Linked DNA regions of Callithrix jacchus. The protein of the gene in region 1 interacts with the protein of each later gene in a biochemical or structural test. Links are inferred from orthologs where the notes say so. Each region holds a gene or a part of one and is shown in the gene's direction. Other genes may lie near its edges.

Region 1 (5,587 bases):
TTTCTGTCTCATTGAATCTAAGTCTCCTATCTGGGTGTTAGGATCGTTAGCTCTTGTTGTTGCATTGATCCTTTTACCACTATATCTTTGTTACTTTAAAATCTATTTTATCCGATACAAGAATTGCAACTCCTGCTTTTTATTTATTTATTATTTATTTTTGCTCTCCATTTGGTTGGTAAATCTTTCTCCATCCCTTTGTTTTGAGTCTTTGTGTATCCTTGCATGTGAAACAGGTCTGGATGTAACATGCCATTGGGTTTTGGCTGTGTCTTTTGATTGGGAATTCAGTCAATTTAAATTTAGGGTTACTGCCATTTGATGTTGACTGGCTGTTTTATCCATTTGTTGGTGTAAATTCTTCTTTATGTTGGTGCTCTTTACTTTTTGGTGTATTTTTAGAAAGGCTAATACTGGTTGTTTCTTTCTGTGTGTAATGCTTCTTTCAGAAGCTCTTGTAAAGCAGGCCTGGTGGTAATAAAATCTCTGAGTTCTTGCTTGTTCATAAAAGATTTTATTTTTCCTTCAGTTGTGAAGCTTAGTTTGGCTGGATGTGAAATTCTGGGCTGAAGGTTCTGTTCTTTGAGGATGTTGAATATTGGCCCCCACTCTCTTCTGGCCTGTAGAGTTTCTGCCGAGAGATCTGCTGTAAGTCTGATTGGCTTGCCTTTGTGGGTAATCTGACCTTTCTCTCTGGCTGCCCTTAGTATCCTCTCCTTCGTTTCAACCCTGGTGAATCTAACGATTATGTGCCTTGGGGTTGCTCTTCTTGAGGAATATCTTTGTGGTGTTCTCTGTATTACCTGGGGTTGAATGTTGACCTGCTTTGCTAGTTTAGGAAAATTTTCCTGAATAATATCCTGAAGGGTATTTTCCAGCTTGGATTCATTCTCTCCGTCGCATTCAGGTACACCTATCAAACGTAAATTTGGTCTTTTCACATAGTCCCACATTTCTTGGAGACTTTGCTCATTCCTTTTTATCCTTTTTTCTCTAATCTTTTCTTCACGTTTTATTTCATTAAGTTGGACTTTGACCTCTGATATCCCTTCTTCTGCTTGAACAATTCGAGTGTTTAAACCTGTGCATACTTCTCGGAGTTCCTGTATTGTATTCTTCAGTTCCATTAATTCACTCATACTCCTCTCTAAGTTGTCTATTCTCAATAGGATTTCATCAAACCTTTTTTCAAAGTTCCTAGTTTCTTTACGTTGGGCTACAACATGTTCTTTTAACTCACCGAAGTTTGTTATTATCCATTCCTTGAAGAGTGATTCTGTCATCAGGAGGCGCTCGTTCTCCATCAAGCCTTGTTCCATTGTTGATGTGGAACTGTGATCATCTTTAGAGGGAGAGGCGTTCTGACTTTGAGTATTCTCAGCTTTTTTACGCTGGTTTCTTCCCGTCATTGTAAATTTATCCTCCTGTCGTCTTTGAAATTACCAATTTTCAGATTAGGTCTCTTGAGTGGACGTCCAGGTTGTTAGTTCCCAGGGCCAGAGCAGCGGCGTTAAAACTGATGGTGCTTTTCTGCCCAGGATTCTCCTGTCGGGCTTCCTTTTTGTTTCCGTAGTAGGCGACTCTGCCTTCCCGGGGCTCCAAACCTCGGTCAGAAGGGGAACCGGTCCCGTTTACTCTGTGCCGAGCGCTGCTGCGTCCAGGTGCCGGCGGAACCGCTGCGCCTACCACGAGAGTCGCGCTAGCGACTCGTGTGTTTCCACCACTGGGGGATCTTCTGCTCCGTGAGCGACCAGACTTTGTCTTAAAGTGTGGCGTCCTCTAGTTCTCCGCGCCTTCCCTGAGAGCTGCAATCCCGGGATGTTAGCGATCGGCCATCTTGGATCGTTCCCTCTAACTTCTTATTCTTTATGGTATTTTCTTCGTCCTGCCTTTGTTGGGCTTTATATTTCTGTTATAGCAATAATAAGGTTTTTCCCTGCATATTTGCTTATATGTCTATCTACCCTAGCAGACTGACATTTTTGGTCCAGAAACTTACACATTTTTAAAAATTCCTATCATTTTAGCACAGTTCTTGTCCCAGTGTAGGTACTTACTTTATTAACAGGTAACCTGAAAGAGTTATTGTAGTGAGAATGCTACCAGATGAATGGGTATTCTTTAAACTATTTTCTTTTTCTTAATTTCTTTAAAAAAAAAATCCAAGTATACTAGAATCTCAAGAGAGGAATGCTTATTGTTAGAAATTATTGAGTCTTTCCTCTAAGTCATGTAGCATTCCCAGAGGATTCTTCTTAAAGGAAGCAAGTGTATCATTGACCAAGTCTACAGGTATAGCCATTTTTATTTTATTTTTTTGAGACAGGGTCTCATTCTGTCAGTCAGGAGTGCAGTGGTGTGATCATGGCTCACTGCAGCCTTGACCTCTGAGCTCAAGTGATCTTCCCACCTCAGCCTCCTGAGTAGCTGGGACTATAGGTGCACTCCACCATGCCCAGCTGATTTTTATATTTATTGTAGAAATGAGGTTTCACCTTGTTGCTCAGGCTGGTCTTGAACAACTGGGCTGAAGCAGTCCTCCTGCCTCAGCTTCCCAAAATATTGGGATTTCAGGCTTTAGCTACCACACCTACCCCATCAGGAAGTGGAGGAGGGCATTTTTGTGTTACATGTCTTTCTAGTAATAAATTCTATTCTGTATTTTTGCTTTGTGTTGGCAGATACAAATGAAACTGATGGAAATTAAAGATTTAGAAAATCATAATAATCAGTTAAATTGGTGCAGTAGCCCACACAGCATTCTTGTAAATGGAGCTACAGATTATTGCAGCCTCAGCACCAGCAGCAGTGAAACAGCCAACCTTAATGAACATGCTGAAGGCCAGAGCAACCTAGAGTCTGAGCCCATACACCAGGAATCTCCAGTAAGTCTAATACTTTCATAATGAATCTCCTTGGGCAGATCAAAATTTCATTGGCATTTTATCTAGTATAATATGTGACTATGCCTCATCTGAGGACACTTGAGATTTCTTCATAAGAGGCAGAGAAAGGGTTCTAATTCAACTATTATACATTTTAATTAGTATGAAAATTGGTTGTTGTTTTTTTTTGTGATGGAGTTTTGCTCTTGTTGCCCAGGCTGGAGTGCAGTGGTGCTACCTCGGCCCACTGCAACCTCCACCTCCCAGGTTCAAGTGATTATCCTGCCTCAGCCTCCTGAGTAGCTGGGATTATAGGCATGCACCACCATGCCCAGCTGATCTTTTGTATTTTTAGTAGAAACTGGGTTTCATCATGTTGGCCAGGCTGGTCTCAAACTCCTGACCTCAGATAACCCACCTGCTTCGACCTTCCAAAGTGCAGGGATTATGAGCATGAGCCACTGTGCCCAGCCAGCTGATTTATTTTTTATAGAGCCTGTTTTTAAAATAGTATTTCTGTAGAGTAAAACTTTTTTTTAAGTACCCTTACCCAAAACTAAAATAATTTTTTATTATGTAGCGTTGAGGACATTCATTTACCAATTTTTTGCAGAGTACCAACTATGTGCAAGAGTGCTGTATTATATAATACAAGAGCAACATAGACAAGAGACTTTAATCTTTCCTTCAAGCAGCAAACGGTGTAGTAGTGTAATGCTGTGTTAAAGGGCTGTGCTAAAGGAAGTACAGAATTTTTAGGTAGGACAGTTTGAGGGGGCTCATACAGATTTTGTTGGGGGCTCATACAGATTTTGTTGGGGGAAAGCTTTGCAAGTGAGGTTTGACAAGTGAGAATGGGTTAAGCAAAGAAGAGGTACACTCCTGCCAGAGAAAACAGTATTAGTATAGTTACAAGGTAGACGAATACATGCAGCACAGAATCTTGAGAAGTTCTGAAGGATATCTTGTGATTGTGGAGAGGGTATTGGTAAGAGATGAGGTGTTCCTAGTGGATATCTGCATTACCTCTGTTGCTTATCAAAGTATAGATGTGTATCCCTTTTCCAAACTTGTTGAACTAGTTTCTGGGATAGAGCTAAATATGTATATTTTAAAAACACATCCTGCTGGGCCTAGTGGCTCATGCCTGTAATCCCAGCACTTTGGGAGGCCGAGGTAGGTGGATGACAAGGTCAGGAGTTTGAGATCAGTCTGGCCAACATGGTGAAACCCTGTCTCTACTAAACATACAAAAAAATTAGCCAGGTGTGGTGGTGGGCCCCTGTAATCCCAGCTACTTGGGAGGCTGAGGCAAGGAGAATTGCTTAACCTGTGAGGCGGAGGTTGCAGTGAGCCAGGATTGCACCACTACATTCCAACCTAGGTGACAGTGCACGACTCCATCTCAAAAAAAAAAAAAAAAAAAGTAAGACACCCTATGGGTGATTGTCACGTGTACCTGGATAAAAATGACTTTTAGGTCAGAAAGTGCCAGAAGGTGAGAAATTTGGATTCATCTTAAAGCATTGGGGGATTTATCCTACTGCACTGAATAGCCATTGAAGAATTTTAAGCAAGAAGTGATGTGATTAAACTATTAGAAATGTGGAAAATGGATTAGAGAGTGAGACTGTATCCATAGAGGTATGTTGGAATAGTCTGTGTGAGAGTTGTTTTAGCCTAAACTTAAGCAGTAACAGGAGGGATAATGAGAAGAAGTCTGAGAGATATTAAAAGTGAAAAGTTAACAGACTTGATCTTATTTAGACAGTGCAGTCATGTATTATACAATATTCTTTCAGCCACGAAAGGCAGATTACTTGGTTATCCTTGAAACAAATAAGGGCTGTATGAAATAGATATTGCCCCTACTACTTCTTAAGTCTCTCACCCACTGTTCTAAATGAAGAAGACAATGGGAAGCCACTGAAGGACTTTTAACCAGAAGGGTCACAATCACATCCACGTTTTAGAGCTATTGGTTTGGCTATAATAATAAGAAGAGATTGGAAGGGCACATATTGGAGGCAGGAAGGCAGTTGGAAGGAAGACTGCTCTATTAATTGGAACCAAAGATGATGATACTGTCAGTGATTGATAGTGTCAGTGAGGATGGAGAAGAGGCAAGGATTTGAAAAAGAAGTAGGAGGTAGACTGAGCAAGACTTGGAGTCTTATTCTAACTGGGGGTTAAAGATGACCTGAAGGTTTCTGACATGAGTGACTTTGATGCTTGATGACACCATTTCCCTAAAAAAGATTATAGACCACGGAAAATGGTGCCTCGCAGGTTGGGTAATCTTACAATCCTGGTGCTCTGGGCTGCTGCCCTGTTCCTTGCTCTGGGCATGGAAAGGGCTCTGGTGCTACCCGAGGTACAGAAGCAAGATTGAGGTCAAGCTGAAGCAGGGTTGATGGCCAGCCACGCGTCGTGCTTGCCTATGGTTCCCCCTTCCCCTCTGCTGACCTGCAGCTCTGATTTCGTCCCTGACGCTTTCCGACCCTGCCTAGCCAGATATGCACCCAGTGTGCCAGGAGTGTGCAAAATTTGTCCAAAGTGGCCCTTTGTTGTAAAACGACACGAGAGCTAATGCTGCATGCACATTGCTACCTGAATCAGAAGGAGACCATCTTGGGGCTAGATCTCCAGAACTGTTCTCTAGAGGACCCTGGTCCAAACTTTCATCAGGCACGTACCACTGT
Region 2 (5,587 bases), on another chromosome or scaffold:
GTTGGCCAGGCTGGTCTCGAACTCCTGACCACTGGTGATCTGCCTGCCTCAACCTCCCAAAGTGTTGGGATTAGAGGCGTGAGCCACCATGCTCCGCCTGAGCAGAGGGTCTTATCCAACCCGGCCAATTCTGCCCCCAGGGGGCATTGTCAGTGTCTAGAGACATTTTTGGTTGTCACCACCAGGCAGGGGTGTGCTCCCGGCTTCAGTGGGTGGAGGCTGGGGTTGCTGCTCAGCACCCTGCAGTGCACAGGGCAGCCTCCACCCCCCGAGAATGGTTCAGCCCCCAGATGTCCACAGTGCTGACTGAGAAAGTAGGGTAGAGGGGGGAGCACAGCCTGCGGTGCAGGGAGGTAGGTGGGAGAGGAGGTAGGCAAGCGAGTGAGCATGTTCATAGATGGAACAGAAAACTAGGACCCCAAGGAAGCAGGAGAGGGAGGGGAGCTTGGGTGTTATAAACTCGTGGAACTCAGACACAGGCCACCGTAGGTGGCTGTGGTCAGGTTCTCAGAGAGGATGGAGATCACAGAATGGGTGAATGTTGGCTAAAAATCCTCTGCTGAACCCTACAGCATGCCTGCCTCCTAAGCCTTCAGTGCTTGCTTGCATACCCCCAGTGACGGGGAGCTCACCCCTTATTCAGCCACCATTCTGGTGTCTGGGAGGTTCAGGGGTATGGATGGTACCTGCAGTCCTGTCTGGCACCTTTTCTGCAGCCCCAGGATTTCAGACCCATCGGGGGTCTCCACAGAAAAGCCCACCTCCTAGATTTTGGCTGAGTTCGTGCCCCTGGGAAGGCCTCAGAGGCCCCAGGCAGCATCTCAGCAGTGCCTCTGTGCAATCGCTCCCAGACCTGATGCCCGCACCTGCTGACCCCACAGCCAGGGAGGGCCTGGCAGCCCCACCCAGGAGACTTCGCTCTAGGAAGGTGTCCTGCCCTCTCACACGCAGCAACGGGGACCTGGTAGGTGAGGGGCCTGGCAGGAGCTGGGCTGTGGGGCGCCTCTGGGGTCAGCTTTGGGCACCGCTCCTGGGAACCCACAGCCCAGCTTGTCTCTTTCCCTTCCAGTCTCGTTCCCTGAGCCCTTCCCCACTGGGCTCTTCGGCCCCCAGCACTGGCCCAGAACGGCCCTGCTTCTCATCCCAGACAGGACACGGTACGTGAGGGTGGGCCTGGGCCCTGCCTTGGGCCTCAGTCTCACCTTCTGTGGTTCGGGTGGGTAGCTTCTCTGTTGGCACAGGTGTGGTGGGGCGGAGGTGGGGGCGGGTCTCGAGCCTGAGGCCTCTCTTCACCCCGTCTTTCTGTCCCCCATTCCCTCCCCGCCACCCCCAGGAGTCTCCCGGGGTCCGAGCCCTGTGGTCCTGGGCTCCCAGGATGCCCTGCCGGTAGCCACAGCCTTCACGGAGTATGTCCACGCCTACTTCCGTGGCCACAGCCCCAGGTACACGGTAATGGGCAGACAGGGCCCGTGGGGGGTCTGTGTTGGGGGGCATCCAGCAGGGACAGCTTTCAGATGTGCTTCATGGCCTGTCTTATGATGAAACGCCTTAAACACTGAGCCAAGTGACCAGGCCCCCATGTCCATGTCCTAAGGGCAATGGAGCCAGGGAGGGCCTTTTTTTTTTTTTGAGATAGACTTTCACTCTTGTCGCCCAGGCTGGAGTGTAGTGGCATGATCTCAGTTCACCACAACCTCTGCCTCCCGGGTTCAAGTGATTCTCCTGCCTCAGCCTCCCACGTAGCTGGAACTACAGGTGCCCACCAACGCAGCTGACTCAATTTTTAAATTTTTTGTTTGTTTTGAGACAGGGTCTCACTCTGTCGCTCAGGCTGGAGTGCAGTGGCGTGATCTCAGCTCACTGCCACCTCTGCCTCCTGGGTTCAAGCGATTCTCCTGCCTCAGCCTCCCAAGGAGCTGAGATTACAGGCACCAACCACCACGCCCAGCTAATTTTGTATTTTTAGTAGAGACAGGGTTTCACCGTGTTGGCCAGGCTGGTCTTGAACTCCTGACTTCAAGTGATCAGCTCGTCTCAGCCTTCCAAAGTGCTGGGATTACAGGCATGAGCCGCCACACCTGGCCATAGGAGGGCATTTGAGCAGGGCTAGGCATTACTGTAGTCTCGAGGCTGCCATGTGCATTTCAATGAAGAGACCAAGACTAGTTAGTCGCAGTAACGGGGGTTAGAAGGTGGGTTAGGGAAAAGCAGAGGGGCCAAGGATATATACTAGGATGGCCTTCAGCAAAAAAGATCTGAAAGTCAAACCAGGAAGAAGAGGTGAGTGTCAGATCGAAAACCCAAGCAGACAACAGCTAAAAAACTGAACATTTTAATTTGAGCTTCCTGGTGGCCTAGGAGAAAAGAGCTAGGGAAGGAGATGTTCCTGCCTCCTTCAGCCCAGGGTGGATTCTTCCTGTCTAGGCAGGAACAAAAGAGGAGGAAGTTAGGGCAAAGGACATGGGGCATCCTCAGGGCCATCCTAGATCCAAGGGGTCTGGGGAGCCACAGGCAGCAGTGGAACCAGGAGCAGGGGAGGATGAGACACCAGGCAGAGCTCTAAGCCAACGCCCAGTCCCTCTACCCTCCCCAGCTGCCTGGCTCGAGTAACTGGGGAGCTGACCATGACCTTCCCTGCTGGCATCGTGCGTGTGTTCAGCGGGACCCCGCCCCCACCTGTCCTCAGCTTCCGGCTTGTACACACGGCTCCTATAGAACACTTCCAACCCAATGCCGAGCTGCTCTTCAGGTACAGCAGATGGGAGGTGGGAGAGGGCCACAGAGGCTACTGGGGTCAGGGGCTTCTGGGCTCTGAATTCCCTCTCTGCCCCTGGGATTTTTTTTTTTTTTTTTTTTTTGAGACAGAGTCTCGCTCTGTTGCCCCAGCTGGAGTGCAATGGTGAGATCTCAGCTCACTGCAACCTCCGCCTCCTGGGTTCAAGCGATTCTTCTGCCTCAGCCTCCCGAGTAGCTGGGATTACAGGCGTGCGCCACCACACCCAGCTAATTTTTGTATTTTTAGTAGAGACAGGGTTTCACCATGTTGGTCACACTGTCTCAAACTCCCGACCTTGTGATCTGCCCGCCTGGGCCTCCCAAAGTGCAGGGATTACAGGTGTGAGTCACAGCGCTCAGCAGCCTCCTTGGATTTGCTGTGTGGCCTGGGGCAAGTAACTTGCCCTCTCTGACCCTGGTTTTCCATCCCTCTTTTACTGCCCCCACCACTGCCACCCAGGTAGGGCTTTGGTGGGCCAGGAAACGGCATCTTTAGGAAGTGCTTGGGGTAGTTTGATGTTGAGAGCCCTGGGAGGGCATCTCCTAGGGTTGGGGTGATCAGTCCCGGTCTCTGCAGTGACCCCTCCCAGAGTGACCCTGAGACCAAAGACTTCTGGCTCAATATGGCAGCTCTGACCGAGGCCCTGCAGCGCCAGGCAGAGCAGAACCCCACCGCCTCCTACTACAACGTGGTGCTGCTGCGATACCAGGTACGCCACGCACACGGGCCGGGAGCAGGTGGAGTGGGGTGGGGTGAGCAGCCGACTTGGAAGTGCCTGCATGTTGGCCAAGCTGGTCTCGAACACCAACCTGTGAGAGCCGATGAGCTGGAGTGTGTAGGCAGGGTGGGTTGGGAACGAACGGTGGATGGAGTCAGGGTGGGAGGGCGTGTGTCCCCTGTGGCAGATACCTTCATTATGTGAACTAGAAGAGGCCCAGCCAGGGAACCTTGCCCTTGAACTTCCTTGGGAGACTTTTCTTAGAACGATGTGCTCTCCTGCCCCCTGCTGGAAACCTGGTGTAATACAGCCTCTCATCCGTCAAATCTCCCTGTGACTGGGCTGTCTTGGGGCAGGGTGTGCGTGCATCGCGGGGTCAAGGTGGTTGAATAGGGCGTGTGTGGCAAGACGAGATGGCCCAAACCATGTGCTCTCTCCTGTTCTGATTCCTCGTAGTTCTCCCGCCCGGGTCCCCAGTCTGTGCCTCTGCAGCTCAGTGCCCACTGGCAGTGTGGGGCCACCCTCACCCAGGTCTCGGTGGACTATGGCTACCGGCCCGGTGCCACAGCTGTGCCCACACCACTCACGAACGTCCAGATCCTGCTGCCCGTGGGGGAGCCTGTGACCAACGTCCGCCTGCAGCCAGCCGCCACCTGGTGAGGGCGTGCGGGAGGCCAAGGAAAACTCAGCAGTTTCCCCCATAAGCCCAGACCTTCCTCTTGATGACGGTTAAAGGGTGCACTCTGGGCCCGACCCTTCACTGGTGATTCCACCCTGCTTAGCACTGAGGGTGATGTTATGAGGGCCAGGTGCCGTGGGTCATGCCTGTATTTGCAATGCTTTGGGAGGCTGAGATGGGAGGTTCACTTAAGGCCAGGAGTTTGAGACCAGCCTGGACAATATAGTGAGACCTCATCTCTACAGAAAACATTTTCGTTTTATTAATTTATTTATTTTGAGATGGAGTCTTGCTCTGTCACCCAGGCTGGAGCGCAATGGCGGGATCTCAGCTCACTGCGACCTCCGCCTCCCAGGTTCAAGTGACTCACCTCCCGAGTAGCTGGGATTACAGGTGCCTGCCACCTCACCCAGCTAATTTTTGTATTTTTTTAGTAGAGACAGCATTTCACTATGTTGCCCAGTCTGATCTCGAACCCCTAACCTCAGGTGATCCACCCACCTCAGCCTCCCAAATCCAAAGTACTGGGATTACAGGCATGAGCCACTGCACCCGCCTTCCAAAAAATATTTTAAAAAGTAGTCAGGCTTGGTGGTGTGCTCCTGTAGTCTCAGCGACTTGGGAGGCTGAGGCAGAAGGATCGCTTGAGCCCAGGAGTTGAGGCTGCAGGGACTTAGCCTGGGTGACAACCGTCTCTTTTTTTTTTTTTTTTTTTGAGACAGAGTTTCGCTCTTGTTGCCCAGGCTGGAGTGCAATGGCACCATCTCAGCTCACCGCGACCTCCGCCTCCCAGGTTCAAGTGATTCTCCTGCCTCAGTCTCCCAGGTAGCTGGGATTATAGGCATGTGCCACCACGCCCAGCTAATTTTGTACTTTTAGTAGAGATGGGGTTTCTCCATGTTGGTCGGGCTGGTCTTGAATTCCTGACTTCAGGTGATCCGCCCACCTAGGCCTCCCAAAGTGCTGGGATTACAGGTGTGAGCCACTGTGCCTGGCCAGAACCCTCTCTTAAAAAACAAAGATTAGGCTCTCACCAGCAATCCCAGAACTTTGGAAGGCCGAGGCGGGCGGATTACCTGAGGTCCGGAGTTCGAGACCAGCCTGGTTAATACGGCAAAACCCCATTTCTACTAAAAATACAAAAAATTAGCCAGGCATGGTGGCACATGCCTGTAACCCCAGCTACTCAGGATGCTGAGGCAGGAGAATCGCTTGAATCCGGGAGGCAGAAGAATCGCTTGAATCCGGGAGGCAGAGGTTGCAGTGAGCTGAGATCGCACCATTGTGCTCCAGCTTTGGCAACGAGGGTGAAACTCTGTCTCAAAAAAAAAAAATTAAGAAAAAAAGGTGTGTCTGTTGTAAAGAAGCCAGATTTATAGGACAGAATGCATCTAAAAGTGCTGCAGGGAGGCTG
Region 3 (5,587 bases), about 16 Mb from region 1:
ACACAATCCATCTCTAGAATTTGTTCCTCCCATCTAACTGAAATTTTGTGTCCTTTGACCAACATCTCCCCAAACAAATCCCCACGCCCACCACTGCCACCACCTCAGCCTCTGGCAACTGCCATTCTACTCTCTAATGCTATAAGATCAACTTTTATTTTTATTTTGTTTTATTTAGTTAGTTATCTGAGACAAAGTCTCACTCTGTTGCCCAAGCTGGAGTGCAGTGGCACAATCTTGCCTTATAGCAACCTCCACCTCCCAGGTTCAAACAATTCTCCTGCCTCAGCCTCCCATTTAGCTGGGATTACAGGCATGCATCACCATGCCTGGCTAATTTTTGTATTTACAGTAGAGATGGGGTTTCGCCATGTTGGCCAGGCTGGTCTCAAACTCCTGGCCTCAGGTGATCCACCCACCTCGGCCTCCCAAAGCGCCACTGTGCCCAGCCAAGATCAATTTTTAAATATTTCACATAAGAGTGAGAGCGTGTGGTATTGGTCTTTCTGTGCCTGGATTATTTCATTTACCTTATTTTTAATGCATTATAATTTTTTATTAAATATGTTCAGATTATTTTTCTTAAAATAAAGAAACTAATACTTTAATAAAAATTAGGGTATCTCAAACTTGGCTGTATTTCTCAATCACCAAGGAATTAAATGCTTGTAATTAAATGCTGGTTCTGAATTGATGCTAAAAAGAAATATATATATGTATATATATATATAGTTAAATATAATATTGATAACATAGATTATATGATTACATTATATAATTATATATAGTATATTATATAATTACATTAGGTGTTATATTGTATGTTATATATAAATATTATATAATATATAATATATCATGTGTTATAAATAAATATATAATGTATATATTATTAAAATAAATATTTATTTAGATTATTTAAAGATAATATGTTATTTATATATATATTTATATATTTATATATGTGTGGTGTTAGGGCCTAGCAGATATATATATATATTAAATATACATATATTTTATTTTATTGGCTTAGAATGCAACCCAGGTATTTGTACTTTATACAAGTTCCTCAAGAGATTTTATGTATCCTATGCTTTGAAATACATTTATTTAAAATGTTGTAAGGAAACCATTTAAAGTAAAATATCTACATAATGGTACATTTTTCAAAAATGCAAAAGAATATAATTTTTTCTTCTGAGAATAGTATCTACTCTTTGAACGTTATGGATAACACTAATATATAATATGGCATAAATTCACTTATAAATTAAAATATAATAGAAAATACATTATATTTAGTTTTTTTCCAAAATATTTAAATATGCTTAGTGAGAAATGAAAGGAAATAAGAGAGGAAAATTCTAAATGGGATTTTTTTCTCTGAATGCGAAGTTAAATTCCAAGGCAGAAGGCAAATTTCATGCATGGTTTGTATCCCCAAAGTGTGGAAATAGGATGGCAGTTCTTCACCTTCGTGGACTCTAATTATATACACTGCATGTACATTTTCACTTCAGATAAAATGTTTGTTTGAAATTTTAAAACCCTGTGGAGTTGTTTTTATTTCTGTGTTTGTTATTAAGTAAATCTAGAAAGTAGATAGAATTCACCTATTGCAGTATGCACTTTGTGTAAAGTGTTAAAATGTAGGCAAGGTCCAGGTGTAGTACTAAAATGTAGGCAAGGTCTGGAATTACACCTGTAATCCTAGCACTGTGGGAGGCTGAGGCAGGAGGATCACTTGAGTCCAGGAGTTTGAGACCAGCTTTGGCAACATAGGGAGACCCCATCTCTATTTTTCTTAATAAATAAATAAAGTGTAAGCAAGATACTGAATTCTAAAATTAAGTCAGCTTTCTACTGGCCACTGACCTTGATTGCTTTATATCCCAGAACCTCAGTTTCCTCATCTAAGGGTAATAATGATATCTACCTATTTTATAGGTTGCTATAAGAAGCTAATAGCTTCAAAGTACTTTATGAAACGTAAACAGCCCTAGACTGGCTGTTTTATTTTAACATGTGCTCTGAAGAATTCATTTGCTGTTGCTTACCTGTCTTTTTGTTGTTGTTTTCAACAATGCAAGGAATTGGGTGGAGAAGCACAACCAGCATTTTGTGGAATTGCCCTTAAATTGCAGCGTGTTTAGTTTCTGGCCCCATAGCATGCCCCCAGAAATTGGAACAATCAAAAACACATTTTCATATACCCAAAAAGCACCTCCCCAGGTAGAGGAAGTATAATCAGGTTGAGAACTACCACTGAGGACAGAGTCCAGAAAATGGGGTGTGGGAGGGAGATTGCTCTGCTTTTGATCCGCTGTAGTTAATTGATTTTTAAATAAATGTTTGTCTGCAGAAAGTATTATGCTGCCAATAATATTTAAAGTTTAAAAACTATAATGGTTAACTAGTTTAAACTGTCATCAAAAGCCATATCTTTCATTTTATAAAAGAATCCATTTTGGGTCTTGTTTCTGCCACGACCACTCCTGCCTTGAAAGTTCAACCTGCCTTCAGGACCCTTCTCCATGGCGACCATATGCACAAGCATTTCCTAGACAGCCGTTTAAATCCTTCAAAATCAGCAAAGCTCATCATACTCCATGAATAAAAATCCCAGGGCATAGATACCACTCATCTGATCCCTGCAGAGATCCCTGCAAGAGAGGTGACTCTTGGAGACTTATTTGCCGCCATAATGAACAATCGAGAAATTGTAACACTGTAAATTTTTCACGGTGGACCCAGAATTCACAACAATATTATTGCCTTTAGATGAATGTTTGTTTTTTTCTTCAAACCCGGTGGGGTTTTTTTTTTTTTTTAATAAGACAAGCTCACAGATTATTCTAATTAGTATTGACAGTAGATTCTTGCATTGTAGCACTTTCAGCTAGAGGAATCCCAAAGGAAGTAAAGGAAGTAAATGCCTTTGGGATTTGCCACAGTAAGGACTTGAAACCAGGTGTAAAATTCCAAGGGAGTAATAATAACCTACCCTAGTCTAGCTCATTGGTTTGTTGTTGAAGAGCAAATATGGTAAGAATATTAAAAGTAACACTTACCAAAATGTAATTCCTTAGTGTGTGCCGGGCATCCTGCTGAGTGTTTCACAAAAAAACATCTCCTTCAATCTTCCTGACAACCCCGTGGGTAAATATTATTGTTCTAATTCCCATTTAGCAAATGAGGAAAGAACAGAAGCTCAGAGAGGTTTAGGAACTTGTCCAAGATCACTTAGCTTGTAAGTGGAATGGCAGAATCAGAACTCACACTCGCAACTGTCTAGCTTCTCGGCCTTAGCTCCTGGCCGGCCTGCTAGTCCACCTCCTTAACTGACATGAAGTGTATTGGAAACTCCAAAGTGCTACAGAGACTCTCATAGCTGCTTTCGTGTTTTTAGTCTGTAATGGTTTACCTGAAGCACCCAGCTCTCTCTCACAGCACCCGTCATGGTGCCTCTCACTCATGGTTGCTTGTGAGCAGCATAAAAAACATTATGACATTTTAATATCTAAGAACATTCCTGTGGGAGAAAATCATAACTTCTGGTCTTGTTTCAGATTATTGGTTGAACCTTTAATATTCTCTTTCCTGTCATTTGGCAAGGTGTCTGCCCAGGGTATTCAGTCCACGCCTCTGAACCTGGCAGTGAATTGGCGATGTGAGCTTGCAAGCACTGACCTGCGCATAGATTACAAATACAACACAGATGCAATGTCGACCGCTGTGGCCCTCAACAATGTGCAGTTCCTGGTCCCCATCGACGGAGGTGTAACCAAGCTCCAGGCAGTGCTCCCACCAGCAGTCTGGTATGAAGCCTTCTATTCTCTCAACTGGGGGGGCTCCTCTGGGTCGACGGATCATGTTTCTTAGCTCTTGTGTTTCCTGTAGGAGGGGTGACAGCAGTCCTGTGTATTGGAGTTCAGGGCAGAAAGTAGAAACCGCTGGTATCTATTTGAAGCAAAAACTAATTCAACAGGGACTTCAATGCTTACATAATGGTGGAAGTGCGAAAGGAATAGGCTGGATCTCTAAACATACCTTCCAGACCTCTGCCAAACTGGCCTGCCACAATCCGGGGACAGAGAGAAATTAGAAGGCTTCCTTTAGAACCACTGAATTCAAGAAGCCAGAGCTGTAACTCTGATCCTAGGACCAGCAAGAACCTATTGGCACCTCCTTAAGTGCTTCTCGGCACCCCCAAACCAGAGGCTAGAGTGGAATCTAGGACCTAATTTGTACCTAGGACCCTAACTGCAAAGGCCTCTGAGAAATGTAGTGTTTCATTTTCTAGCCTCTGAACCATAAAAGCACACTAGAGAAGGCAAGGTTCTAGAAACTGAACAGATTCATTGTGCCTATATCATCTGTTATAAAGGACTTGTTCTAGAAAGAGCATTTCATTTTTTCCATATGACTGTCAGAAGCAAAAAGTAGAATTCGTTTTAAAGATGAATGTCAGCTAGATCATGACCCCAATTTTAATTACCTTAATTAGTTGATTAACTAATACTCTCATTTATCTTCCCATGGATCTGTTTTAGCAGATTATATGAAAAAACTCATTTAACTCTACTTTGTCCTCTAAATATATGTCTCATGGTGTTCTAGCTATTTACAGTAAGGTCAGGGAAAAGAGAGATTTATGTATGTCTGGGAGGGGAGAGAGAGAGAGAGAGAGAGAGAATTTTTAAATTGTAGTTAAACTTTTCAAGATCTAGTTTTTAAAATTAATACTATCCAGAAAAAAAACATGGCATCGGTAAACAAAAACCCTTGCATATGCAAAAACTTTTTACCTAATTTATTTTTAGGAATGCTGAACAACAAAGAATATTGTGGAAGATTCCTGATATCTCTCAGAAGTCAGAAAATGGAGGTAATGAAATCACAAGCTTATTTTATTTAACATGTAAAACTAAAATAGCTTTTAGGTATTTGCCAACTATTACCCAAAACATGTAGCAATAAAAACAAACAGAATATTTCACTCCATTTTTGCATTTTCTTATTTCGATTAATAAAAGCAAAAAATTCTTCAGTGAATTCTCTTTTTCGTTTTCTATAGACTCCATATCAAACAAACTATTGTTCAGGCCTCTTAAGGAGTCATGTTTCCATCTTGTGTCAGATTCCACACTCCCGGATTAGATATTTTTCACTCTCCTCAGATATTAATTATAGGTTGGAAATTACAAGGGCCCCAAGTAGCACATCTTCAAATTTTGAGGTACCATCTAAAGGAAGTAGACTGTTACCAGTGTGCAAATCGAATTGCTCATAATATTCAGTGATAAATTTCATTTAATCACCGTTTTGTCAATAAAGTCTGATTTTGTAGTTCTTTTGAATGCAATGTCCAAAATTACATCCAGAATATTATGTTGACTGTTACCTTGTAATACTTTTTTTTTAGGGGTGGGTTCTTTGTTGGCAAGATTTCAGTTATCAGAAGGCCCAAGCAAACCTTCTCCGTTAGTTGTGCAGTTCACAAGTGAAGGAAGCACCCTTTCTGGCTGTGACATTGAACTTGTTGGAGCAGGGTATCGATTTTCACTCATCAAGAAAAGATTTGCTG

What was found. The genes of interacting proteins can lie anywhere in the genome.
Region 2: the proteins of EPS15 (region 1) and FCHO1 form a complex in vitro, tested with the Homo sapiens proteins (2 studies listed by BioGRID). The link is inferred for Callithrix jacchus from reciprocal best matches to the Homo sapiens genes EPS15 and FCHO1.
Region 3: the proteins of EPS15 (region 1) and SGIP1 form a complex in vitro, tested with the Homo sapiens proteins (2 studies listed by BioGRID, with this or other methods). The link is inferred for Callithrix jacchus from reciprocal best matches to the Homo sapiens genes EPS15 and SGIP1.

Annotation. Positions count from the first base shown.
Region 1 is NC_133508.1:88,292,543-88,298,129, reverse strand, and holds part of EPS15 (epidermal growth factor receptor substrate 15), read left to right. Parts: intron 1-2,681; coding exon 2,682-2,885; intron 2,886-5,347; exon of another isoform or gene 5,348-5,587. UniProt on the Homo sapiens protein: Involved in cell growth regulation. May be involved in the regulation of mitogenic signals and control of cell proliferation. Involved in the internalization of ligand-inducible receptors of the receptor tyrosine kinase (RTK) type, in particular EGFR.
Region 2 is NC_133523.1:16,511,688-16,517,274, forward strand, and holds part of FCHO1 (F-BAR domain only protein 1), read left to right. Parts: intron 1-716; coding exon 717-964; intron 965-1,069; coding exon 1,070-1,157; intron 1,158-1,333; coding exon 1,334-1,442; intron 1,443-2,593; coding exon 2,594-2,749; intron 2,750-3,352; coding exon 3,353-3,485; intron 3,486-3,950; coding exon 3,951-4,150; intron 4,151-5,587. UniProt on the Homo sapiens protein: Functions in an early step of clathrin-mediated endocytosis. Has both a membrane binding/bending activity and the ability to recruit proteins essential to the formation of functional clathrin-coated pits.
Region 3 is NC_133508.1:103,972,868-103,978,454, forward strand, and holds part of SGIP1 (SH3-containing GRB2-like protein 3-interacting protein 1), read left to right. Parts: intron 1-3,615; coding exon 3,616-3,818; intron 3,819-4,823; coding exon 4,824-4,888; intron 4,889-5,425; coding exon 5,426-5,587.